Linked DNA regions of Xenopus tropicalis. The protein of the gene in region 1 interacts with the protein of each later gene in a pairwise test. Links are inferred from orthologs where the notes say so. Each region holds a gene or a part of one and is shown in the gene's direction. Other genes may lie near its edges.

What was found.
Region 2: the proteins of ccdc155l (region 1) and cybc1 interact in binary tests that used the Homo sapiens proteins (3 or more experiments, as listed by UniProt). The two-hybrid records come from large-scale screens. The link is inferred for Xenopus tropicalis from reciprocal best matches to the Homo sapiens genes KASH5 and CYBC1.
Region 3: the proteins of ccdc155l (region 1) and cdc73 interact in binary tests that used the Homo sapiens proteins (3 or more experiments, as listed by UniProt). The two-hybrid records come from large-scale screens. The link is inferred for Xenopus tropicalis from reciprocal best matches to the Homo sapiens genes KASH5 and CDC73.
Region 4: the proteins of ccdc155l (region 1) and TRAF3-interacting JNK-activating modulator interact in binary tests that used the Homo sapiens proteins (3 or more experiments, as listed by UniProt). The two-hybrid records come from large-scale screens. The link is inferred for Xenopus tropicalis from reciprocal best matches to the Homo sapiens genes KASH5 and TRAF3IP3.
Region 5: the proteins of ccdc155l (region 1) and slc41a2 interact in binary tests that used the Homo sapiens proteins (3 or more experiments, as listed by UniProt). The two-hybrid records come from large-scale screens. The link is inferred for Xenopus tropicalis from reciprocal best matches to the Homo sapiens genes KASH5 and SLC41A2.
Region 6: the proteins of ccdc155l (region 1) and gpatch4 interact in binary tests that used the Homo sapiens proteins (3 or more experiments, as listed by UniProt). The two-hybrid records come from large-scale screens. The link is inferred for Xenopus tropicalis from reciprocal best matches to the Homo sapiens genes KASH5 and GPATCH4.
Region 7: the proteins of ccdc155l (region 1) and rnf146 interact in binary tests that used the Homo sapiens proteins (3 or more experiments, as listed by UniProt). The two-hybrid records come from large-scale screens. The link is inferred for Xenopus tropicalis from reciprocal best matches to the Homo sapiens genes KASH5 and RNF146.

Annotation. Positions count from the first base shown.
Region 1 is NC_030683.2:112,407,440-112,410,939, forward strand, and holds part of ccdc155l (lymphoid-restricted membrane protein), read left to right. Parts: intron 1-179; 5' UTR 180-278; coding exon 279-345; intron 346-595; coding exon 596-691; intron 692-1,067; coding exon 1,068-1,248; intron 1,249-2,601; coding exon 2,602-2,660; intron 2,661-3,500. UniProt on the Homo sapiens protein: As a component of the LINC (LInker of Nucleoskeleton and Cytoskeleton) complex, involved in the connection between the nuclear lamina and the cytoskeleton.
Region 2 is NC_030686.2:46,139,715-46,143,899, forward strand, and holds the start of cybc1 (cytochrome b-245 chaperone 1 homolog), read left to right. Parts: upstream 1-1,385; 5' UTR 1,386-1,411; intron 1,412-4,185. Other genes in the region: narf (nuclear prelamin A recognition factor), read right to left, coding at 900-926. UniProt on the Homo sapiens protein: Functions as a chaperone necessary for a stable expression of the CYBA and CYBB subunits of the cytochrome b-245 heterodimer. Controls the phagocyte respiratory burst and is essential for innate immunity.
Region 3 is NC_030680.2:113,572,843-113,576,342, reverse strand, and holds part of cdc73 (parafibromin), read left to right. Parts: intron 1-446; coding exon 447-516; intron 517-2,234; coding exon 2,235-2,297; intron 2,298-2,422; coding exon 2,423-2,475; intron 2,476-3,500.
Region 4 is NC_030678.2:50,640,977-50,644,476, reverse strand, and holds part of TRAF3-interacting JNK-activating modulator, read left to right. Parts: intron 1-519; coding exon 520-549; intron 550-1,588; coding exon 1,589-1,684; intron 1,685-3,500. UniProt on the Homo sapiens protein: Adapter protein that plays essential roles in both innate and adaptive immunity. Plays a crucial role in the regulation of thymocyte development.
Region 5 is NC_030679.2:50,199,933-50,203,432, reverse strand, and holds part of slc41a2 (solute carrier family 41 member 2), read left to right. Parts: intron 1-1,895; coding exon 1,896-1,967; intron 1,968-2,976; coding exon 2,977-3,121; intron 3,122-3,500. UniProt on the Homo sapiens protein: Acts as a plasma-membrane magnesium transporter. Can also mediate the transport of other divalent metal cations in an order of Ba(2+) > Ni(2+) > Co(2+) > Fe(2+) > Mn(2+).
Region 6 is NC_030684.2:133,213,077-133,217,271, reverse strand, and holds the start of gpatch4 (G patch domain-containing protein 4), read left to right. Parts: upstream 1-1,395; 5' UTR 1,396-1,593; intron 1,594-2,661; exon of another isoform or gene 2,662-2,664; 5' UTR 2,665-2,671; coding exon 2,672-2,750; intron 2,751-3,148; coding exon 3,149-3,222; intron 3,223-3,913; coding exon 3,914-4,006; intron 4,007-4,195.
Region 7 is NC_030681.2:67,899,962-67,904,203, forward strand, and holds the start of rnf146 (E3 ubiquitin-protein ligase rnf146), read left to right. Parts: upstream 1-1,442; 5' UTR 1,443-1,518; intron 1,519-3,189; 5' UTR 3,190-3,190; coding exon 3,191-4,141; 3' UTR 4,142-4,242. UniProt on the Homo sapiens protein: E3 ubiquitin-protein ligase that specifically binds poly-ADP-ribosylated (PARsylated) proteins and mediates their ubiquitination and subsequent degradation. May regulate many important biological processes, such as cell survival and DNA damage response.

The DNA of each region.
Region 1 (3,500 bases):
ATGGCGGCTCAAGGGATGTAAAAGGGCAGTATTTACTGATATACAGTATATATTCCAGTTTGACGAGATTGTTTATTAGGCCACTTAACATAATATAAACTCTCTGTTGGTTAAGTATACATTCTGGGGGTATAGTTTTATTTTAACTTGTAATTTCATAGGAATGTTTGCTCTTTCAGAGCTAGCACTCTCCAGGAATACATCTGCAGATTTCTTTGAGGTCCTGCCTCAAGAGGAAGAACTAATATACCCTAAGCTTTCAGCAAAGGGCTTGTATAATGTATAAACTGCAAGGAACCTGCTGGAATCCTGAATCAGAAGAAGGGCAGCTATCAGACAGCAAAAGTATGTTTTTAATGTATTATTAGATATGTATGTGCTTTTAATGGAAATTAAAGTGGCTGTACCCCCACTTGTGGATGGCTTTTTATATTCTCTACACTTCTGACTACATTGTTTCATGCATCAGAGTGGAAAGGGAGAAACAAATGCTGCTTTCAGTTTGAAATACATTTACAAACATCTTTAAAACCCATTAAAAACGTTAAATGTACGTGTATGTATAGAAATAATTTGCTGTGCCTTTACGTCTCAGATGCTACTCAGGGCTGTCTTAATGGTGTTCCTAATTCTACATCAGAAGAGCAGTTGCTGGATACCGCATTTGAAGCATGTGATACAGAGGGGAGAGGTAAGAAACTCTTGCTGATGTAAAAGAGCGCCTCATGAGTAATATAATAGGGTGTAATACTTCCCAACTAAAGGAAAACAGCGGGGCAGAATTATTATGTCAATTATGTTTTTAAGCAGCAGTAAGGACAGTTACTACTCATAAGAAAATCAGTGGAATTGCGGCTCATTCACTAGTTTTTATAAAACGCTACTACCGAGTCGTTAAGCTCTTTAACTTGCATTGTCATTCAGACTGATGTCCGCCTTACTGCAGCTAAACATATTATTGTGTTTACTAAGGAACTGCCCACATTGTGCATAGGTAACAAAAATCTGCAGTTTTGCTGTTAAATTCCACTGCTAAACTACCATAATATGACTAAATTTGCCTCTAGGAGAAGTAACAGTGTTTCAGATCATTGACTACTTGAAGAGCGTAACAGATCAACCTTGTGATGGAGACCGACTCCAGCACCTTTGTAAGATGCTGGATCCTGAAGAGCAGGGAAGGTCCCTAGATTTGCCAACCTTCCGTAAAGTCATGAGTGAGTGGATTGCCAGCTGCTGCAGTGACAGGTATGTCGGCTCATGCGTTTAGAGAATGTAAGTATAAATTTGGCCATATAATCTTTGGTCCCTGTTGGTTGGCAGACCAATTCATCCCACAGGGTTCAGTTGGGTTAAGGTCAGGGCTCTGTACAGGCCAGTCAAATTGTGAAAGTTGAAAGCCATGGCAAAGAACCCCAGACCATTATTCCTCCTTTACTAAACCTGCCAGATGGTGAAGCTTTATTTACGTTCAAGAGAATGCACGTGTACTTGCTGCAGAGTCCAATCCGAGAAACCTTTACAACTTTGCAGCATACAAATGGCATTGCGTATTAGGGGCGGCCTAAGCCAACCAGGCCCTAGACAAATTGGTCGGCCCCTTGGCCCTGCACCCTTCCCCCCTCCTTGCATCTGCGCATGCATTATATATGGTGTTGCAGGGGGGCGTGAGCCATGCAATGAGAAGCAGCAGAGGCAATGACAAGGGAGCTCGGACTAGGGGTAAGCAGGAAGTACCTGCCTGGCGCCCTGGCAATCTGTGGATTCTGGATCCAGAGGGGCAGCTGTAAGATGCCATAGACTATTGGGCTGGTGGGTGGCTGTTTTGGCCCCTGTGTACTTGAAATGCCAGGGCCTATTTTTGATCCAATGCTAGGCCTGCTGGACTGACAATCATTGCATTCCGGTAAATGCCAGAGGCGCTTCTGTAAGGCACCATAGACAACCACTGTTTTTTAAACCTTTGTGGGACTGTTTGGGCCTCTGTGTACTTAAAATGCCATGGCCTATTTTGAACCACAGTCCAGACCTGTGCAGGTGCTTGACATCTTTTTAAGCTATTAAAGGTGAAGGAAAGTCATTTTGCTAATAGATTAGTCACAATAGTGCAAGATAGAACGCTATATTTATTTTGCAAAAAGCTTTACCATACCTGAGTAAACAGCCCTAGAAGCTCCCTCCATTTGTTTAAGATAGCAGTTGCCATTTTAGGTCTTGGTAGCTTTCTGCTTCTGATAGCATAGATCACACATTCTGATGGGAGGGGGAGTGAATTCTTATGGGAGGGGGAAGCAGGAAAAGGGACAGAGGAGAGCGTTCCACAGACTTTTTCTGAGAGAGGAAGTCTGATACTGAAGAACATCTTTACAAAAAAGGAGACAAATCCTGTGCTTTTTTTGATAGAGGACTCTGAGTGCTTATGGCTGTATTTACATAGACCTTTCTGATAAAGCTTACTTAGTTTTCACCTTTCCTTCTCCTTTAAATATTGCAGTTTTACAGTATAGTGACATGATGTGCAGTCTTATATTTCTTTTTACATACAGTGTAAATAGGACCCTAAGATTTTACTGTCCATTTTAATAATTTCTATATATGCAGTGATATTACTGAAACAGTGGAAAATATAAAATCCGAGAAAGGCTCATCTTTACCATGTGGTAAGTAAAAAAAGCACTTGTGATTAATATATTTCTAATTTAGATTTTCCTTTGTACATTATATATCCTCTATTTCAATCCATATGAAAATTAGGCTACAGGTACACTACAAAACTGGAGATACATCAGCCTTATGGCTGTAAACATACCCATCACTACCCCTATACTGCTGGGTCAGTACTCTGTATTCTAACCCAAGGCTGTCTGTTATACATAGTAACATAGTAAGTTGGGTTGAAAAAAGACATACGTCCATCAAGTTCAACCATAATGCCTATATATAACCTGCCTAACTACTAGTTGATCTAGAGGAAGGCAAAACCCCATCTGAAGCCTCTCTAATTTGCCGCAGAGGGGAAAAAATTCCTTCCTGACTCCATAATGGCAATCGGACCAGTCCCTGGATCAACTTGTACTAAGAGCTATCTCCCATAACCCTGTATTCCCTCACTTGCTAAGAATCCATCCACCCCTTTCTTAAAGCTATATAATGTATCAGCCAGCACGACTGATTTGGGGAGGGAATTCCACAACTTCACAGCTCTCACTGTAAAAAATCCTTTCCGAATATTTAAATGGAACCTCCCTTCTTCTAAACGGAGTGGGTGCCCTCGTGTTCGTTGGAAGGACCTACTGGTAAATAAAACATTAGAAAGGTTATTATATGATCCTCTTATATATTTATACATAGTTATCATGTCACCTCTTAAGCGCCTCTTCTCCAGTGTAAACAGACCCAACTTGGCCAGTCTTTCTTCATAACTGAGACTTTCCATACCCTTTACCAGCTTAGTTGCCCTTCTCTGGACCCTCTCTAACTCAATAATAATACACACAGGT
Region 2 (4,185 bases), on another chromosome or scaffold:
CATAAGCTTCTTAGGCTTAGTGTCCCCCCAGCAGCCACATAAACCCAATGGGATTGTTTTGCCCCCCGATACGGATTCACCAGCTTAGTTTGGATCTGTGTTATTATTACAGAGAAAAGGGAAACTGTGAGAAGATACAGAACGGAGCTTTCTGGATATCAGGTCTCCAGGTAAGAGATCCTCAGCCTGCAGTATTAACAGTCCTTGTGTGAGTTCCTAATTGGCACAGGTTCCGGTGGGTCTGTGAGTGACAGGCCATGTCCCCCTTTGTCTCACGTTAACCCATTGCGTGCCGGGGCTGCCTCAGGTCTGACTGGGGCACCCCAATGTACTGCAGCTCCTACGTGTCCAATAAAGAGTTAATGATCCCCTATGAGGAAGTGAAAGGAGCCCCTTGTGATGGTCATGGGTGTCCATGTTTGGGTCACAGTCTTCCCACCTCCAACGGGAGGCGCTTCCATGCCCCGACTACCTCCCCAAACCCCCAGACAAGCAGTTTTCCCTTCTGTCTCCTGGCTTATTATTCATTAACCTCCTATCACAAGGCTCAGCTTTGCCTTTAACTGTCTGCCTTGTTTACTGGCATTATATCCAGGCCACAGCTGCTATGGAACTACATCTCCCATAATCCCCTCTAACCACAGCTGGAGGGCTGCCTGGACACAGACACAGGGAATATAAAACAGCAAAAGCCCTAACAGCAGATAGTACAGTTGCATTTGAGGGGAAAGCTCCAGATGTGGCTGAACTACAGCTCCCAGCATTGTACTGTAGGGGGGGGGGTGGGAGTAGCAGTTCAACAACATCTGGAGGGGCCCTTGCTATAAAAGCCTGATGCAAACTCACAGACAATACAATAATACCAGTAAAAACATCCCCCCCCCATAACCCAGACATACCGTTTTGGTGCAGTTTTCACACTTCATGTTCGCTGTGGGGCTCCCCCTGTGCCTCTGGCTTTTGCCCCAGACTGGGAGGGGCCAGAGAGGGGGGGGGTACCTGAGGAACAAGTGGCCCCAGATCCCAGGAAGCACCCAGGCCACACTCTCTCCTTCTGTCACCCTGGCCTTTGTTAAGGTACCTGCCCACCTTTGGCGACGGACTCGTCACCTGGCCAATCACAGCTAGGAGTGGGCGGGCTTACCTACCGGGACCTATGGCAGTTCGACTTCCGCCTTTCCCACGTTACACAACAGGACCACGTGATCACATGATCCTTACAGACTGCCTGTGTCGCTGTTGCAGGATATCGTTACCAAGGGGCGCCCTCTGGTGCTGAGATAAGGAAGCACAGCGTCTATGCGATGTGTCCAGCGTCCCAGCATGCACCGCGGCCCAGACTGACTGGGCAGGAAGCGCAGTTCCTTCCAAGCAAGCGGGTCAGAGAGTAGAGCTGGGAGCACACAGATAGGTAAGTCATGTCTGGCCAGCTGGCCTGCTCTCTGTATAGGGCTGTTTAGAGCCACTCTGTTGTCTTGTGTTCCAGGGCTCTGGGCTGGGTGGTGGGTACTTCATGGTCTTAAGGAGGGTCTTTCTGATTCTACAAGTCCGGACACAAGCAGAGAGCAGGGCTTTATGGGAAACCCCAGGGTATTGCTCCAGCACTTGTGGGCTAACTCTGAATTCCTGTAAAAGGGGGTCCCATCAATGCCCCCCACTTCCTTGGAGACAGATCAGCTTCCTCAGCAGAGGGGTACAGGGAGCTCTGGGGGTACAGGGAACTCTGGGGGTACAGGGAGCACTGGGGTACAGGGAACTCTGGGGTACAGGGAACTTTGTGGGTACAGGGAACTCTGGGGGTACAGGGAACTCTGGGGGTACAGGGAACTCTGGGGGTACAGGGAACTCTGGGGGTACAGGGAGCTCTGGGGGTACAGGGAGCTCTGGGGGTACAGGGAGCTCTGGGGTACAGGGAGCTCTGGGGGTACAGGGAGCTCTGGGGGTACAGGGAACTCTGTGGGTACAGGGAACTCTGTGGGTACAGGGAGCTCTGTGGGTACAGGGAGCTCTGGGGTAAGGGAGCTCTGGGGTACAGGAGCTGGGTACAGGGAGCTCTGGGGTACAGGGAGCTCTGGGGTACAGGGAACTCTGGGGGTACAGGGAACTCTGGGGGTACAGGGAGCTCTGGGGGTACAGGGAACTCTGGGGGTACAGGGAGCTCTGGGGGTACAGGGAGCTCTGGGGGTACAGGGAGCTCTGGGGATACAGGGAGCTCTGGGGGTACAGATCAGTTCCTGATGAAGGATAGGGAACTTCTTGCTACATCCTGCTAATGGGGAGTACATGATAGTCCAGTGGTACTGATCCATTTCTAGAGAAGGGGAGTACAGGAAAGTTATGGGGTACAGATGGGTTCCTGCAGAAGGGAGTATAGGAAAGTTATGGGGTACAGAGGGGTTCCTAGAGAAGGAGGTACAGGAAAGTTATGGGGTACAGAGGGGTTCCTGCAGAAGGGAGTATAGGAAAGTTATGGGGTACAGAGGGGTTCCTAGAGAAGGAGGTACAGGAAAGTTATGGGGTACAGAGGGGTTCCTGCAGAAGGAGGTACAGGAAAGTTATGGGGTACAGAGGGGTTCCTAGAGAAGGGGGTATAGGAAAGTTATGGGGTACAGAGGGGTTCCTGCAGAGGGGAGTATAGGAAAGTTATGGGGTACAGAGGGGTTCCTGCAGAAGGAGGTACAGGAAAGTTATGGGGTACAGAGGGGTTCCTAGAGAAGGGGGTATAGGAAAGTTATGGGGTACAGAGGGGTTCCTGCAGAGGGGAGTATAGGAAAGTTATGGGGTACAGAGGGGTTCCTGCAGAAGGAGGTACAGGAAAGTTATGGGGTACAGAGGGGTTCCTGCAGAAGGGGGTACAGAGGGGTTCCTAGAGAAGGAGGTACAGGAAAGTTATGGGGTACAGAGGGGTTCCTAGAGAAGGGGGTATAGGAAAGTTATGGGGTACAGAGGGGTTCCTGCAGAAGGGGGTACAGAGGGGTTCCTAGAGAAGGAGGTACAGGAAAGTTATGGGGTACAGAGGGGTTCCTAGAGAAGGGGGTATAGGAAAGTTATGGGGTACAGAGGGGTTCCTGCAGAAGGGGGTAGAGGAATGTCTGGGTACTGCCCATACAGTAGGACAGATTGTGTGTAGGGGAGCTGGCAGCACTGTAACGTTAGTGTGGCCCCGTGAGAGGAATAATTCGCACTGTGATGGGGCCCTGCTGCGCTTTCCTAACCTCTATGTACAAACACTTCCTGTCTGAGCTGCAACATTCTAACTTCCCCTTTACTTCTTCTCTTTCCCTGACTGAGCGCAAGGTTTCTGTTGCCCAATAACACTCAGCGCCATGGAAATAAAGGAAGGCGGGGGCATCGGGGTATCTGCACACTTGCAGGCAGGAAGTAGGGGAAGGAGCCCCCAGGTGCCCCTCAGCGGGGAAGGAATAAAAGCAATGATAGGCAGATGCTATTAAAGGAGAACTAAAGCTTAACTCAAAAAGTGGGCAAGAACTGTTGCACATTATGTGTTGGACCCAAGGCATGGGAGACCTGGGGCTCTGGGCTGCTGTCACTTACATGAGCTTAGGGGCCCACTCACAATACACTGTATATACTCAATATATATGTCACAGTATAAGGTGAACTAGTAAATATTTAGATCATTAATACTGGACAGCCCACAGCTGCCCAGAGCCCACTTCCCAAAGCCCCAAATTTCTACTAATTTTATGAGCTAAGGGGCCCTGACCACCCTGGTCAAAGGTTGGACTTAAATGGGGGGCCCTGGTCAAAGGTTGGACCTTCATGGGGGGCCTGTTTAAAGCTTGGACCCTTATGGGGGGGGGGGCTGGTCATAGGCTTGGCCCTTCAAGGGGGGTTGCTCAATGGTTTGACTTTCAAGTGGGGCCTGGCCATGGGTTGGACCTTCATAGGGGGCTGGCCATAGGTTGGACCTTCATAGGGGGCTGGCCATAGGTTGGACCTCCAGTGGGGGCAGGTCATTGGTTTGGCCTTCAGTGGGGGCAGGTCATTGGTTTGGCCTTCAGTGGGGGCAGGTCATTGGTTTGGCCTTCAGTGGGGGCAGGTCAAAGGTTGGACCTTTAAGAGGGTGCTGAACAGTGGTTGGACCTTAAAGTGGGGGGAGCTGGTCAAAGTTTGGATCTTTGAGTAGAGCATAGAGTTTGGCAGCTACTGGTCTGACCCACT
Region 3 (3,500 bases), on another chromosome or scaffold:
ATAAACAAAAGTTAAATAAGTTTTTTACTGTTATACTATGGGGCACATTTACTAATCCACGAACGTCTGAAAAGCGAATACAATTCACGAAAGTCATAATGGCTATGAAAAAGTCGCGACAATTCACGAAATTTGTAATGGCTATGAAAAAGTCGCGACAGCTCACGAAAGTCACAATGTCTATGAAAAAGTCGCGACAATTCACGAGATTTGTAATGGCTATGAAAAAGTCGCGACAGCTCACGAAAGTCATAATGGCTATGAAAAAGTCGCGACAATTCACAAAATTTTTAATGGCTATGAAAAAGTCTTGACAATTCGCGCAAGTCGTAACGGCTACGAAAAAGTCGCAAAATGTTCGTTTTCCAAAAAATTTTTTTACTGAAAATATTTTTGAGAAGTGTGTACATCATCTAATTTAACTATTTTCTGTTCACCTTTTGCAGACTGAAAACATTCCTGTGGTTAGAAGACCTGATAGAAAAGATCTTCTTGCATACCTAAATGGGGAAACGTGTAAGTGCCATTTGCATTAATAAAATGATCATTTTTTTAATATAACGGACCAGTGATAACACAAAATTAACAATATGAAAGTTATTTAACATAACAAAAATAGCAAATGCAAGTCAAGTTTCTTGACCATTTCTATAGACCATATTTGTATTTGAATATACGTGTAGATTTCCAGTAGATACACAGAAGGGGGTTGTGGGAGCACTCCAAGGCTAAATAAAGTATACAAATACAATGGAAGTGCGACTGATCTGGCCAAATTAACTACAATCATACAAAAAAGAGGGGGATTGATCAATGCACATTCCCTCGTCCCCTCTTTCATAAGTAAATTATCTATGCTAGTGCATGTATTTACAAAAAACGTGTTTTTAGTTACAAAATTATGATCATAAGATTGGTAAGCCACCATACCACGTCAAGGTAAACCCCGTATGGTGGTCCTATCTATTTACCTCTGGTCATATATTTCAAAGGCCGGCACTCCCGTGCACTGTTGCCATTCTTGACCTGGGGGCTGGTTTGAGTCAGTCCACCCCCATGCCTTTAGCTTTTATAGAGAGAGATTGCCAGGACCACAGCTTGGTCCTACAGGCTTAATCCTCCACCACTTGTGGTTTGTAAAGGAGATTTCCAGTAGGACTTGTGCTGCAGCAGTTCACAGGTCACTGTAACTCCGTTCGCAGCTGTGCATCCCAAAGTCTATATGGAACCCTTCTGTGAGACATCATGCCAGTCTAACCATGTGTTATGTAACTGTAGGATCACTATCTTTTTGAGGTGCATATGGGTGAAGTAAACACTGCACATTTAGTTTGGCTGTACTGTTGCGTGGAGAGTTTGTTTTCTTGACATCAGTCTTTTAGGGAGGTCTCTGAGGAAGTGCGCTGTCACGAAACGCGTAAGACCTCAAGCTGTGTTTTTTAGATGTGCAAATAAAGGTTGATCAACTTTAATATCATCTGTTGCGGCTTTTTTATGCTGACCTGGAGTGCACTGCCAATGTGTGAACTTTTGTGATCAGTCTTTTAGGATACCCAGATTAAGGGGGCATTTACTAACCCTAAAAGTTACAACTTTTTTGAGATCTACTGTGCAACAAACTGGCTAAAAATCTGAATCCGACAATTTTCCAGTTAAAACTTGCTAAGATCATGTAGTCAAGTCAGTGGCAGATGTCCCTTCCCCTTCCCTGGAGGTTCCTTCTGTTGCTTCATAACTTTAGAGGTTTCAGATTTTTGATGCTGTTTTTTGTGTGACAATTCAAAAAAGTAGTAGTTTCGGTGTGGCAATTTGAAAAAAGTTGCGTTTTCCTGATTTTTCTGCAACTTTTTCCCACACAAGTAAATGTCATAAATTTGTGGAAATTAGTTTATTTAAATTTTTAAATTTAAAGTTAAAAAATAGAGCTATCCTCTTTTTTCCTGGAATTTTGAGGAAAGAAGAGGATCGCTTGCTTGCATGTACCCCAGGCCGCTGCAGTTTTCTAACAGGAGCATCAGCTTTAGGGTACCAGTGCCTTAAATTTGGCACCCCTAGTGATTTATTCTTTTTCTTCTCCTTTAATGCTGTGTATTCTGAGTAATAACTTGAATAAGCAAATACTGTGATGAGTTGACCTTTTTTCTGCCGGTGTATTGAAATAATCAAACTGACTGCTTGTTAATATCTTAGTTCAAGTATAGTTACTTTATCTCAACCGTTTCTGCTTTCTTTAGCATCATCTGCCAGTATAGACAGAAGTGCGCCACTTGAAATTGGTCTTCAGAGATCCTCACAAGGTATGTGCATAGGAACATTTATGTCATCTTTATTCTCTTGGATGCAAGGATGGCCCCCTAGCGCTCTTCATCATGTCTAGCAACAAGGGAATTAAATGAGTTCATAACAATTGTTTTTATTGTAGTAAAGAGAGTTGCAGATGAAATATCCGCTGAGGCAAAGAAACCAAGAATAGAGGTGAGTTTTCCCTTTCTGCACATTATAAAGGTGTTAGGAAGTTTTTGTCAGGCTCCCTGACCTGTTTGCTACAGATTCAAATAAAAAGGATGTTAAATTTTTTTTGAGAAGTGTAGCCTTGGGAGCTATATTGCAGTGGATTGATTTTGTATAGGTTAGATGAATGACTAGAAAAACCCACTTGAGTCTCTGCAAATGTTGAACTACCCTCTACCCGCTGACAGCTGAAGGATGATAACTTGTTATACTGTAGTTCCCTTGCTTGTAAATACTCCATTGACTGTAAATGTATTTGGTTTATAAACAGCAATACAACTTCTTTTTTGGAATAAAATCACATATTAAATGTTGAAAAACGCCTTTATGTTATCATATTTCAACAAGCAATTCTTTATTCTACATTTTCAATGATTTTCTGTGTAATAAATTAGTGCAGTGTATTTGATGGTAGTGTTATGGAAAATTCAAATACTGAAGGTCATTTGGGGTAGAAGAAGGTAAGGTTTATTTGACACGTATGTGGGTTCTGAGCAAAGCTAAGGGTCAGAACAACAGACCAAAGACAGCACTGTATTTTATAAATTTTGTGGCATAGTAGAATACAACATAAAAAATACATTTGAGCTACCAGTTTACCAGTGTAAGCGCATAGAGATATGTGTTCACAGTTAAGAAAACAAGGAACTGCTTACAGCCAAACAGGTGGCTCTGTCTGCAAGGCCAGAAAAGTAGTAACCAAGGCTAGCTTGAGAGCAGAATCCATCCAAGTCAGGGGGGCCTGTGGTTAAATCTGCACACAGAAAATGTATTCCTTATCAGTTGCTTATCATAAATATATACTAATTGCAAGACTGTCAGTACTGTTTATAGCTGAAACAAAAAGATTAAAATTCTAAAAAAAAAAAGGGTGACACTTGCAATAATGCAGACACACTTTTGCTGCTGACTGGATTTGCCTTTGTTATGCACAGTAGCTTTGGCTCTGTGGATGAATGGATAGGTAAATAGACAACACTACTATTTGT
Region 4 (3,500 bases), on another chromosome or scaffold:
ACGAAAAAGTTGCGGAACATACGAAAAAGTCGCAAAAATAGCGATCATTGCGAAAAACACATTCGGACCGTTCGTGGATTAGTAAATCTCCCCCATGAGTCAGCTTCCTGCTGATAGGCTCAGATCCACATTCCTAAGGGGGGGGGAGTGAGTTCTTAGTATTCTTGAGGGGGGGGGAGCAGGAGAGAGCAGAGAGCTGCGTGTCTCTGGCACATGAATTACAGACACAACAATAGTAATGTAATGTAGTAATGTTGTGGATGAATAATTTTTTTAATGTTTCGTGGTTGCCTGAATACACTGCAGTCCTTCCAAAAATTCAGTGAGAATATATACTAAACTCAGGGGGTAATGCTTCTAAAAACACTGGAAAAACTCATAAATATAGGAGCCTGGGGGGAAATGTTCTCTCTGTTTTCCTTTTGGTTGCGTGCATACAAATATCTGTTGTTCTAGTTTATATGTTCATAGTAGACTTTGCATTTACATGTATAATTTGTGAAATGTTTTATTTTTCAGGAGTTGTTGGAACTTTCTGAATACCTTGTGGTAAGCATGATAAAGTTTAGCAATTATATTGTGCAATTTCTAATCTCTTTTTTTTCTAGGGATGCACCAAATCCATTATTTTGGGATCTGGTTAAACCACAGATCCTTTGTGAAAGATTTGGGCAAATGCTGAACCGAATTTGAATCCTAATTTGCATATCCAAATTAGGCCATGGAGGGGTCAGATAGAACTGCCCGCAAAGTGTGCGGTGAAAACTTTTTCGCTTCCGTGTTTGTGACAAAAAGTCTAGAGAATTTAAGGATTCAGAATCAGCCCAGCAAGAATCTGAATCCAAATCCTGCTAAAAAAGATGAATCTTGGCCGAATCCCTAAATGAATCCTGGATTTGGTGCATCCCTGTTTTTTTTTTAAATTCACATATTAAAGGGCAGACACAATCAGAAGAGGGCCCTATGTAGAAAAGTATAAAGCCCCCCTGACAGCAGTGCTTAGTACAGTACCACTCATCCTAGTATGGCCACAGTAGTCCTCCGGATGTCTCTATCATCAACCCATTCAAAATTCTGCCCACCTGCAAGATCTGCCTTTCTATGTGTAAAGCATTAGGGAGATGACAGGGAGTGGTAGGAAGGCACATTGACACCACCCTCTCTCTGGGGTGGATAGGGAGCATCCCTCAGGCAAACGGAAACAAAAATTATTTGTGAGAGTTGCTGGGGCACTGTTCAAGTGTATGAGGTATATGTGAGCCCTTACAGCCAACCGCAAGGACTAAGTATCACCTTTGCATAAAAAATGACAGTGTTATTTATCATCAGCAGCATTTATAATTTTTGTGTGACTTAGAGAAATTTCACTAAATAACCATATAAAGACACAAGGCAACAGGCTTCTTTAATACAGGTTACTGACCATGTAAATGAGGAATTTAGAAGTTAACTTAGAGCCTCATAACCTCTACAGGAGCACTCAGCTTAGGCCTCATGCATTTATACGTCCACAGAAAATACATTATTTTACATTAAGGGGGTACATTATATCTGATATTAATGTCACTTATTTTTCTGACTTCTGCAGGAAGCTCTCCATAGAGAGAGGAAACTGAAAAAGAAATTGTGCTCCTTGCAGGAGTTGTTTCGAACACTCTTACAGACATCTGAAAAGTCATTCAAGGTAGATTCTGTTTGATAAACCATGGGAATTCTGAAACAGGGTTATTCTGATTTGTTGGTTAAAAAGAACTATGGTTGCTTGTTTATTTACTGCTTTGGTGCCCTAAAAAATATGGTCATATTGGTCAAAATGAAGAATAAATATTTGTGGCCAGAGATAAACTTTTCCTTGGGAACCACCAGTTTAGATGTTTCCTGCTGTGTGACACTCTGACTTGAATGCTGTATAATCTCTGTAATACGCTGTGTAATGCCACAAGTACAGGTATGGAAACTATTGTCCAGAATGCTTGGGACCTAGGGTGTACCGGATGGAGAAAGATCTTTCCATAATTTGGATTTTCATGCTTAATTTGGATCTCTGTACTATAAGTCTATTAAAAAAATATTTTGACATTAAATAAACCCAATAAGGACTTCTTATATCTTAATTGGGATCATGTACAAGGTTCTGTTTTATTATTACAGAGAAAAAGGAAATCATTTTGAAAACCTTTATTTGATTATAATGGACGCTGTGGGATATGGCCTTTCTGTTATTCAGATCTTTCTGGATAAAGGGTTTTCAGATAATTTATCCTATACCTCTGTTATGTGCAGCATCGCCTGCTTTAAGTAGCACTGCCTACAGCAGGGTGGCACATGGGTGTCCCATGGTACAGCATGCCATCATTGGATCTCCATTTCTAGACTGGGCTGTTTCTGCTTTTTTCATTAGAAATGGTTGTGCACCCACAGTGCCCCTGAAGTATATTTATTGTTTCAAAGATTTAAGTTCAGCTTCATATGAATTTAAAAAGATGAATATAAACTTTTTGGAATGGATGATTTAGATTAAGATTTTAATGGCACTGTTAATTTATTATTTTCAATTTTATTTAAAGCGCATTCCTATATATTACTTTAAATTACAAAATAGTGCTGCATAACAAAAACACATAAAAATGCATACAAAGGTCCAGTTTCAAATCACTGAAAGAAAAATGGATCCAACAGTAGAATACCATGGTGTAGAATGCCATGGTGCTTTGCTTCCTGAATGTTGAAATAAGTTGAAAATGTTGAAATAGTAGTGTGAGTCCTAATAGCTGAGTCCTAATAGAATTCATCATAGCATGTGTGAATGTGATAGAGACCTTAGATTGTATGCTTCACTCTGGGAAGTACTGATGTGAATGATGTATATCTGTAAGTGCTGTGGAACATGCATGTGCTATATCAATAAAGATAAAAGTATTCATAGTGCAAGTGGTTCTTGCTCGCTTCTCATTGTTACTGGGGTGCATTTCACAAAAGTGGAGATAGTATTTTTGGAGTAAAATTAGAAGGAATACACAAAAGGGGTACAATTTAAGACAAAATAACAGTAGAGATAGATTTGTTGAATTTTCCACCATATTCATACACCTCTATAAGCCAAATTGCACACACAATTTGGCTTATAGACTATGACATAGAAGGAACTGGTTAGAAACTTTAAAAATAATGAATTCAAAATAATTAGTAAGAAGGGAAATTCTGACGGTAAGATAACTAGTTTTAGCAACTCTTCATAAGCTTTGATGTGGTTTGCTGATGCTTCCTCTATATGCATGCAGGAAAAAAAGCATTTCTTATTGCTTACAGACAGGAAATGTATCTTCGTTTCAAGAGAACTACAACTACAGAGCAGGTGTTCCCAACACAGGTTTCTTTTAGTGGGTTATTTTGCAGTAAAACGCTAGAAAATCCAGAACTATAATATATATGGGCAATGAGTTGTAGTCTATGTATCTTAAAAATAGAGAAGATCTTTGTTGCAGAGTGAAGAGAGAATG
Region 5 (3,500 bases), on another chromosome or scaffold:
ATTTTAAATTTAAATCATTCATATTCAAAAATTCCACAAATTGTGAAAAAGCTAAATCAGTACCCCTCCATACAAAAAGGAGGTCATCCACAAACCTCCTATATAACACCACGTGCTGTAATAAAGGTGCCTCACCACCAAAGATGCGGGATTCCTCCCACCAACCCATGTACAGGTTGGCATAGGTGGGCGCAAATTTAGCACCCATTGAGGTCCCGCATCTCTGGAGGTAAAAGACACCCTCAGATTTAAAAAAATTGTGCGTCAATAAATATAAAACAGCATCCAAAATGAAGTCCTTAAGAACGCTATCATATGAACTATAATTATCCAAGTGGTAAGAGAGAGCCTGCAAACCTTTGTCATGGGGGATGCAGGAGTAAAGAGAAGTGACATCTATCGTGCCCCAAGAAAAACCATCCTGCCACTCAAAATCACCTAAAGTCTGCAAAATATGTTTTGTGTCACGAACATATGAAGTCAAACGTAACACTAAAGGCTGCAACAAAATGTCTATAAATTCAGATAGTCTTTCATTTAGGGACATGATCCCCGAAGTCGGAGTTCCCCTTTAAACATTGTGTATTGTGCTTTGTTTCTTGGCTGGTTTCAGGCTGCTGTCTGGGCATGCCCCTTTCAAGCAAGATGAACTAAGATTATTTTTTTTTTCATATTTTTGGATGTATTAAATGAGGGAAAAACAGCACGTCAAAAGGAATGCAAATATTCTTTAAGGGTGTGGGACATTATCTGCTCACAGTGTGCCTTCCTTGGATACCTACATGTGTGGGTGCAAAATAACACACTTATGCAAAACTCTAAGGAAAAAATGTGGGATTCACAGCACTGTTCTAAAAAATATCTTAATTCCATTTTCTAAAGTGTGCACGGCAAAAAAACCTTTTGCTTACTCCAAGAAATTAGAATATGTGGGCCCCTTTAGTGACTGACCCCCATTGCCTTTGTTAATACTGTATGTCTTAACATTCCCTGTCCGTTTTAGTACCATAACACCATTGCTTTCTAATTTTAGTTTTCATTTAGCATATTTCCCAGAATTTCAGCCTAGTTGTTGCTATACAATTTTCTAAGCTAAGTTTGCATAGAAATATTTGTATTTATTTATATGTAGTGAACTGTAGTTTCCATGTCTTAGCTGCCATCAAACCACAATATCTTCTATTTTTATAAAAGCAAGTTAAATTTATATCCCTGATTCGGCTATACATTACAATTAGTTCCTGGTTAATTACATATTGCACTAATCTTGACCCATTCATCCACTGGAATGTGACCACCGCTGTTTATTTACTTTTTTCACACATAATAAGCACATGAATGTTTCTTTGTTTCTTACGCTGCTTATATATAAATATATATTTGCTATTTTTCTATGATCATTTTGCAACTTGTGTATGTTTGTTACTGGTACAGGAATAACGTTCAGTTTGCAATTCTATTCCTAAGCTAAACATCCTATTCCCAAATTCTGTTAACAATACATATGAAATAGTGTACCTGTGTTTGGGCAACAGACCCTTATTAAATGACTATTATACTGATCAGATAATTGGTTAAAAGTTTGTTTGTAAAAGCCAAGCAAGGATTCTAGTTTTGCATAATATCTGAAGGGAAATGTTGCGCTAACATTTTTAAAAGATATATCAACAAAGCATCAGATAAATAATGTTCTGGCCTGATTAACATCAAAATATATGATATGCTAAATATTTATGAAAACATAAAAATTAAAGTAAACTTCACCAATGGTTACAATGTATTTTTAAAAGTTATCTTTTTAGTTTCTAAGCAGGGCTGTTCTACCCAGTTATACCTGTTCTTGAGAGTACTGTTAAATTTAAATATTTAAATGTTTGCTATTTCTTGTTGCATAGGTTAATGTTGGAAAGATGGACTCACCTATTGAGAAGTGGAACCTAATTATTGGTAACTTAGCTTTAAAGCAGGTAATTATTAGAAATTTACATTTTAAGCATTGTAGGTCACATGGGGTCCCCATTGCTCAGTATGGGAGCAAAATTAAAAAAAAATCAGCCGTATATAAATAAAGTTTTTGGTTTTTTTTTTTTACTGTAAGTTTGTGGATGTTGAAAACAATGTTAAGGCTTTGATTTTTGAGCAAATAAGGTAACCAGCACTATTCTAAACGTTATTCAGCAAGGTGTGATTTGCTTAATTCATTTATTAATATGAGTTTAAACAATACGTGTGAGAGCTATAAATTGTTGCTCGTAACTGGCATGACGTTGCTATAGCAAGTATTCTTCAATTTTTCATGCTTGATAGCTGGAACATGCTGTGCTAGCAGCATCTATAGACGAGAATTTATTGTTGTTCATCAGGACAATCAAGTATTAAATAAATAATATAAATTACATATTGCCATATACAATTCAGAATAGAGCTAGGTAAAATACAGTAAAAAAAAAAAAAAAGCTGTGTAGTTTTAAGTTTTATATTGATCATGATATTCCTTAAAGCAGTGATCCCCAACCAGTGGCTCCTGAGCAACATGTTGCTCACCAACCCCTTGAATGTTGCTCTCAGTGCCCCCAAACCAGGTAGTTATTTTTGAATTCCTGACTTGGAGGCAAGTTTTGGTTGAATTAAAACAAGATATATACTACCAAATAAAGCTCCTGTAAGCTGATAGGGTGCATAGAGGCTGCCTAATAGCCAATCACAGCCCTTATTTGGCTCCTCCATGAACTTTTATGGTGCTTGTGTTGCTCTCCAAGTCTTTTTACATTTGACTGTGGCTCACGAGTAAGAAAGGTTGGGGACCCCTGCCTTAAAGGATTGAGACTGAAAATTGATATTATGTATGTAGAACAGTCATGCTTGTATTACAAATTTGATAAATTATGTTGATTTTCCTGAAATCAAGTTAAACAGAAATACATTTATTATTACTTTATCAAGTGAAAACTTTAATAATACTGTTGTGTCTTCTAGGTACAAGCAACAGTAGTTGGCTTTTTAGCAGCTGTGGCTGCTGTTATATTGGGCTGGATCCCAGAGGGCAAATACCAGTTAGATCATGCAGTCCTTCTGTGCTCCAGTAGTGTAGCTACAGCTTTTATTGCATCTCTTCTGCAAGGTATGATCATTTATTCAATACCACATTCATATTTTCTGTCAGAGTCTCTGAATTGCAGTTAGGTTTCTAGTATGTTCTTTTCCAAGCTGGTAAGAATAATTTCTGTTTCTCATCTGTGATTTGGCATTTATGTAGAAAGCTTGATAAATATTTACTATATAAATAATAAATAGACAGAATTTGTATATGTTAACATATTCTAGGTCATTTATTTACAATTGCATTTAAGAAATTAAAATAAGTTATATGGAACAGGGGATTGTAAACAGGTCACCTAATTTTTAGTTCAGAAGCAGAGATAAATCAGATCCATGATTTTGGAATTCAGTCACATTTGAAATGCTTCACAAAAAATATTGCCAAAATTAATAACGCATAT
Region 6 (4,195 bases), on another chromosome or scaffold:
ATTGGCTGCAATGCTGTCATTGGCCAGGAAAGTAATCTGTACTGGGGAGATATTGGCCACAAAGCTGTCATTGGCCAGGAAAGTAATTTGTACTGGGCAGATATTGGCCACAAAGCTGTCATTGGCCAGGAAAGTAATTTGTACTGGGCAGATATTGGCTGCAATGCTGTTATTGGCCAGGAAAGTAATTTGTACTGGGCAGATATTGGCTGCAATGCTGTTATTGGCCAGGAAAGTAATTTGTACTGGGCAGATATTGGCTGCAATGCTGTTATTGGCCAGGAAAGTAATTTGTACTGGGGAGATATTGGCTGCAATGCTGTAATTGGCCAGGAAAGTAATTTGTACTGGGCAGATATTGGCTGCAATGCTGTCATTGGCCAGGAAACTAATTTGTACTGGGCAGATATTGGCTGCAATGCTGTCATTGGCCAGGAAAGTAATTTGTACTGGGCAGATAGTGGCTGCTATGCTGTCATTGGCCAGGAAACTAATTTGTACTGGGGAGATATTGGCTGCAATGCTGTCATTGGCCAGGAAAGTAATTTGTACTGGGGAGATATTGGCTGCAATGATGTCATTGGCCAGGAAAGTAATTTGTACTGGGCAGATAGTGGCTGCTATGCTGTCATTGGCCAGGAAACTAATTTGTACTGGGGAGATATTGGCTGCAATGCTGTCATTGGCCAGGAAAGTAATTTGTACTGGGCAGATATTGGCTGCAATGCTGTCATTGGCCAGGAAACTAATTTGTACTGGGCAGATATTGGCTGCAATGCTGTCATTGGCCAGGAAAGTAATTTGTACTGGGCAGATATTGGCTGCAATGCTGTCATTGGCCAGGAAAGTAATTTGTACTGGGCAGATATTGGCTGCAATGCTGTCATTGGCCAGGAAAGTAATTTGTACTGGGCAGATATTGGCTGCAATGCTGTCATTGGCCAGGAAAGTAATTTGTACTGGGCAGATATTGGCCACAAAGCTCTCATTGGCCAGGAAAGTAATTTGTACTGGGGAGATATTGGCCACAAAGCTGTTATTGGCCAGGAAACCCTACTGGCCCAAAGGCCTAATATTGTTTCTTGTACACAGGGAGCCATTACGTTGCTTTTGTTGGTTAAGGATGATAATAAAGTGGAATTAGTAATTCTGTAAGTCAATATTTCAGAAAAAATAAACCATCAAATTCTACCAGGTGTTATGCCAGCATTTCCCATTCTGCCTGTGCTGCGCCCCAACTATTTCCTATAGCAACTAACACCCTCATAATCTGTCAGAGGATTCTATTCACCTTGTATTCTGTCCATCAGCACCGAGAGAACTTCTCCTCAGCATTTCTATTGGGCAAAGCTCATGTTGGACCTCCCACTACCACAGAGTCTTTAGCAATCAGTGCAGAGCGTCTATTCCTCCGCGTACTTCCCTTTTTCCTGCAAGATGGCGCTGCCCTGAAAGCCGGGCATGTGTTCTATGATCAGCTGATGATGAGAGGGAATTTTATCTTTGTTTTTTTAACATTTTTGTTCCTGATTTCTGCCCAAGTGATCCTTACTTCTAATTAACCATCATAATCGCAGTGACTCGTCGGCTCAGGTATTTTATATGCGCTACTTTCTCTCTGTGGTCAGTGTCACAGCGCTGGCAGGTATAGATGGTGTTCTTTTTGCGCTCAGAGCAGTAGCATTCTCTTATCCTGTGTGATACTGCAAGAAAGCTCTTATGTATATAGTATATAAGTGCCCCATAAGGGAGAAAATTGTATGTATCCAAATACAGGGAGTTTATAGAGGAACTAATAAGTTGCACAGTAAGGTTGGTGCACTGAGGGGTACTGTAAATGATAAGGATATTAGCAGTCACTGAGGGGTTCTTTGCCCCCCATATAAAGGCACAAGGCTGCAGGCTGAGTTATACAGGGAACTCTGAGTATCACTCATGTATTATAAGGGATAATGTACCCCCTACTGTAAATGATAAGGATATTAGCAGTCACTGAGGGGTTCTGTGCCCATATAAAGGCACAAGGCTGCAGGCTGAGTTATACAGGGAACTCTGAGTATCACTCATGTATTATAAGGGATAATGTACCCCCTACTGTAAATGATAAGGATATTAGCAGTCACTGAGGGGTTCTGTGCCCATATAAAGGCACAAGGCTGCAGGCTGAGTTATACAGGGAACTCTGAGTATCACTCATGTATTATAAGGGATAATGTACCCCCCTACTGTAAATGATAAGGATATTAGCAGTCACTGAGGGGTTCTGTGCCCCCCATATAAAGGCACAAGGCTGCAGGCTGAGTTATACAGGGAACTCGGAGTATCACTCATGTATTATAAGGGATAATGTACCCCCTACTGTAAATGATAAGGATATTAGCAGTCACTGAGGGGTTCTGTGCCCATATAAAGGCACAAGGCTGCAGGCTGAGTTATACAGGGAACTCTGAGTATCACTCATGTATTATAAGGGATAATGTACCCCCTACTGTAAATGATAAGGATATTAGCAGTCACGGAGGGGTTCTGTGACCATATATAGTTATATACACACCCTCTTATAGTTGAGAGATGATTAAACAGGCACATGGGTGCACCAGCTTAAGACAAAGCTTTGCCTCTCATTTGTGATTAACCCACATCTGTCTATTTGTTTTCCAGCAGCAAGAGAATGAGTGCCTCTTCTGGGGAAAAGAGCCAGGGCAGGAGGTTTGCTGAACAACAGATGCACAAGCATGGCTGGACTGAAGGTACTCGCTAATTCACAATGTGCATTTTATTACATATAGGGGGTTTGGCTGGGGAGCACAAACCCCTAAATGAAAAGTTTGCCCAGGGGAAGTAACCCATCGCAACCAATAAGATGTTTGCTTTTAAAAAGATAACCGGTAAATGCTACCTGCTGATTGGCTGCAATGGGTAATAAGAACTGTAGCAAACGTTGCTCCTTATATTACATTAACCTGTCTTGGGTTCTGTGCTACTGCAGACACGAGGGTCTGGCTTCAAGCAATGTATTCCTTAGGGATGCCTTCTGTAGCCTGAGAACAGTATGAATGGCTATTGGAAAGTGATTGGAAAGCTTTATTAATATTATTTTTATATACTTTATTAACCGTGTTTAACATTCACCCTATTTCCCTTCTAGGTAAAGGCCTTGGGAGACGGGAAAATGGTATTTCCGAAGCAATCAAAGTAAAAGTGAAATGTGACCACGCCGGGGTAAGCGAGGCCAGCAATCAGAAGCAGGAGCATTTCAGGTTGTCCCTAGAGTGTAGACTTTGGCCGAGGATGATGGGAGTTGTACTTTATATCATGTATTTATCAGCCATTTAGTGAGTAACAATGTAATGTTGGGGTTGAGATGTATCCTGCATGCCCATGATTGGTCAAAGGGACAACCCCCTATAAGTAATAAAAGGCACTAAGTTTGTCTAGGGGCAATAACCCATAGCAACCAATAAGAACTTTGCCTTTTAATGGGTGACTAGAAAATTTTACTTACTGATTGGTTACTATGGGTTACTGCTCCTGTGCAAACTTAATACTTTTTATTACATAACCCCTAAAGACTTGTAGTACAGAGCAACTCCAGCAATATAAATTGAATAAAGACTGGTTTTTATTTTTACCCTTGTGGTGCTCTGCTACTTTTTTCTTTGTATTTCTACTGCTGGGACCTATCTGGGGTCAGCGAGTAGCACACCTGGGCTTAAGCGGTAAGTGCTCCCGTGTATTGTTTTTATACTGCATTCCCTATAGCCATTAAAGTGAACCTGACGCCCCTTAATCAGGAGGTGGCATGGAAAATAATACATACAAACTATTCAGCTCGATGGGGCACGGTACTACGAGTCACATAAAGGGGGCAAATCCTGTAACATTTCTTTCCTACTGTGTTTAATACCCTTAGGTGGGACATAACTCTGCTGAGCAGTTCACCTTCCACTGGTGGGATCACGTCTTTAACAAAACCGCTTCCAGCATCTCAGTAGAAGCAGATCAGGTGAGAAGAGAATGCAGCCAGGTATCCTGCTGTGGGGACCGGGTCACACAATCACCAATTTGACACATTGGGAACTATAGGAATGGGGGAAATATAATAAGGCCTTTCATTAGTGACACCCCAAAACGTACCTGTATCATTTGAATGATGTTGCTGCTTCCCTTTTAATTCAAATTCTTTCTTTATATG
Region 7 (4,242 bases), on another chromosome or scaffold:
GTTCAAGGCTTTGGAAATCTTTTTGTAGCCTAAGCCTGCTTTAAATTTCTCAATAACTTTATCCCTGACCTGTCTGGTGTGTTCTTTGGACTTTATGGTGTTGTTGCTCCCAATATTCTTTTAGACAACCTCTGAGGCCGTCACAGAGCAGCTGTATTTGTACTGACATTAGATTACACACAGGTGCACTCTATTTAGTCATTAGCACTCATCAGGCAATGTCTATGGGCAACTGACTGCACTCAGACCAAAGGGGGCTGAATAATTACGCACACCCCACTTTGCACTTATTTATTTGTAAAAAATGTTTGGAATCATGTATGATTTTCGTTCCACTTCTCACGTGTACACCACTTTGTATTGGTCTTTCACGTGGAATTCCAATAAAACTGATTCATGTTTGTGGCTGTAATGTGACAAAATGTGGAAATGTTCAAGGGGGCCGAATACTTTTGCAAGCCACTGTAGAACCTGTGCACTTTGGAGTTAGGACCAGAGTAAAAGATTACTTTAGGATATTTTAAGTCTTCTGAATGTCACTGTTGTCACTAAATTGTAAAAATATAAACTAAAGATTACTGTTGGCAATTCAAAAAATGGCCACAGGATCCTCTTATGTAAAAAAAAAAAAAAAGCCTAAAAACTTGTGAAAAGTCTTGCATTAGTTTACGAAAAAATAAAACCTGGAAAACTGACACCACCGTGAACAAATGAGCCTAAAACGTAAAGATTACTGCTGCTCTATTTCACCCAATGTCTTCTCCTAAATAACCAGTTTTGTCCCTAAATTGTAATTGTTGCCCTTACTTAAAAAAAAACTAAACAAAAAAAAAACAAAACATTGGGACCTTCACCTGGCCCTAGTTTAAAAAAAAAAAAAAAAAAAAGACCCTTTCATTGCTAGTCAAATTGAAGAGGCACTGATGGCAGCATGTTTGATAAGAAATTATTTTTCTTTGTTACCAGGTTCATTAAAGCAGAGCCAAAAAAAACCGTTTTAGGTAAAACAAAGACTTTGCAACACAATATCCACCTAAAAAATAAAACAGAAGCCGTGAAAAGAATAAAATCATTTGTCAACCCAGCAAATAGGGTTTGTTCACTGACACAAGTGTAAGTTCTAATAAGAAAAAACAAATACTTAGTTGTGCCTAAATATAGGCAGCATGCATAGTAGGCTACCACCACGAAATGACTCTTTCTTTCTATAACTGCGAAAACTACTAGCTGTGAAGCAAACGTTTGCAAACACGCTTCCTTGTATTACTAGCGCCTTATAATTGTGAAACAAGGAAGTAAGTTGTCACCCCTCTACGTGCCGCGTCACTGCGCTTATATACGTGTGGTAGTGACGCCACAGTCTCGCGAGATGACAATTTTGACGTCGGGATTAGCTTTCCGGCAGGAGCCAAGGAGCTGGATATTAATGGCGTTGTTGGACGATTAAACGGCAATCTGGTTCTGCGGGCTGTGTTAAAAATATCGAGAGCGTCCCGCGAGAAGCGGGACTGTTGGGCGGTATGTCAGGTTGCGCTTTTACTTCTAAATTATTTATTCGAAGTTCTCATTCCCATTGAATTTAGGCCGAGTGTATTGTGATTTCTCAGAAGCTTGCATTTCTTCACTGTAGGGTGTCTGGCACAAATACCTAAGGCCTCATAAAAAATGCATGTTTTATTGTATGTACAGCGCTTTCCAAAAGGGGTGAGCCTTTAGAGCGATCTTAAGACACTGAGCTTCTTAAATATTTCAATTAAACAAGTGAACGTATCATTTTCCCCATATAGTGCTAAAGAGAGGGGCGAAACCACAGCTGCTTTATACAGCTCAAATGCTCTCTTCTTTTTATTACTTTATAGAGTATATACTGTATTAAACCTTGACTTTTTGCAATACGGAAAATTGAACATGGGCTTCATGTCAAGAAGAAACATTCTATACTGTATTAAATTGTGTTCCAAATAATCATGTCTCATCTGCATCTAGTTAAAGGGATACTGTCATGAATTTTATGTTGTACTTTTTATTACCAAATTACACTGTTTACATAAAATATAATTCAATTCACCATTTAAAATTGTATTCTTGAACCAACAAATGTATCTTTTTTTAGTTGTAATATTGGTGTATAGGCAGCCATCTTAGTGCATTGTGCCTGATTCTGAGCTTTCAGAAAGACCCAGTGCTACACATTAGAACTGCTTTCAGATAACCTACTCCCATGTAACTGGAGGAGTCCCAAGCCGGACGTAGATTTCTTACTATTGAGTGCTATTCTGATATATACTGGCAGCTGCTATCTTGCTGCCTTCCCATTGTTCTGCTGATCGGCTGCTGGGGGGGGGGGTGATATCACTCCAGCTTGCAGCTCAGCAGTAAAGTGTGACTGAAGTTTATCAGAGCACAGGTCACATTGCTGTAGCACCCTGGGAAATGAAGAATATGGATAGAACCATGTGAAATTTCAAAATTAAATATAAAAAAATCTTTTTTTGAAAAAGTGATTTCAATGCAGGATTCTGCTGGAGAAACCCCGTTAACTGATGCGTTTTGAAAAAAACATGTTTTCTCATGACAGTATTCCTTTAACCCCCCTCACCTCTACCAAACACACACACAAATCACATTTTTTTTTTTCATTCAATTAAAATACTTTAATAAAGCTCCCCCAAAAAGGCTAACTTGAAAAGATGCTTTTTGAGTTCCCATTCATCTACTATGATCTACTGCTAGTTTAAGGAATTTAAGTTTCAGGGCACAGCAGTTACTTTGGGGTGTATTGCAGCTGTTTCTGAGAGAGATTCCATAAAATATCCTAAGTATATAAATTTCCAGTGGGTGGCTGGCTGGCTTCTGAAAAGCCCTGCTGAACTTTTTCTCCTGTTCAATAACAATAGAACTCTAACTTTATGTCTTCCAAGGGACTGTCAAAGTGGCGCAAATGGTTTAACATGGAAAAAATGGTATCAATTCCAGGAAAACATAAAATCGAGGTTCTATTTCTCATCTGGATATAGCACCTGAGAAATGGAACTGAAATAAAGATCTGTAAACAATAATAACACCTATGCTGCCAGTTTTTCTTCTGTTCATCCGTTTTTAAACTGGAACAATTCAATTGTTTATCATAGACTGGTTTTCAGTTTCTCTAATCAACCTCATAAAACCTTTTAATTTTTTTACCAACAGGATGGCTGGTTGTGGTGAAGTTAGCCACTCTGCTAACATGCTGCCCACTAATAAGAAACTGGTTGAGCCTTGTCCCAACAGTGCTCCTTCATTGTCTGTTCCTGAATGTGCTATATGCCTGCAGACCTGTGTGCATCCAGTTAGTCTACCTTGTAAACACATATTCTGCTACTTGTGTGTGAAGGGGGCTTCTTGGCTTGGAAGGCGTTGTGCTTTGTGCAGACAAGAGATTCCTGAGGACTTTCTTGATAAGCCTACATTACTGTCACCTGAGGAACTGAAATCTGCAAGTAGGGGAAATGGAGAATATGCATGGTATTATGAGGGAAGAAATGGTTGGTGGCAGTATGATGAGCGGACAAGCAGAGAGCTTGAAGATGCCTTCACAAAAGGCAAAAAGAGCACAGAGATGTTGATAGCTGGCTTCCTCTATGTAGCAGACTTGGAGAACATGGTTCAATACAGGCGTAATGAGCATGGACGGCGTAGAAAAATCAAGAGAGATATTGTAGATATACCAAAAAAAGGAGTTGCTGGGCTAAGGCTTGAATGTGATGCAGCAAATGTAAATCTAGCGCGAGAGAGCTCAGCAGATGGTGCGGACAACATGGCAGCACTTGGAGCTTCTTCAAGTCAACCTACACCTGTGTTACCAACAAGGCTGCACACATCCCTCAGTACAACTGCAAGTCATGCCCTTTCACATTCTGATGTTACTTCTTCATTGGAGAACTCCTTTGCTCAGCTTCAGATTGGCGATCCTGTGATAGGCAGGAATAATATAGGTGAAGGTGAAGAAGGACAGCCTCTAATTAACGCTAGAATGCCAGCCCCCAGTGCTTTGCTGGAAGAATCAGAGCCAAGTGACAGTAATGACCATGGAAGTCCTACATTACAACATAATTCACTTCTTGTGCCACAAAGTAATAGGCTCCCATTTGGTAATCCCTGATTGTACCCCACCTGCATAGGCACAAAGTACCAGTGTAAGGTCTAAAAGACCTGATGGACAGTGCACAGTCACAGAAGTCTAAAGCAGTCAGCCAGAGAAAG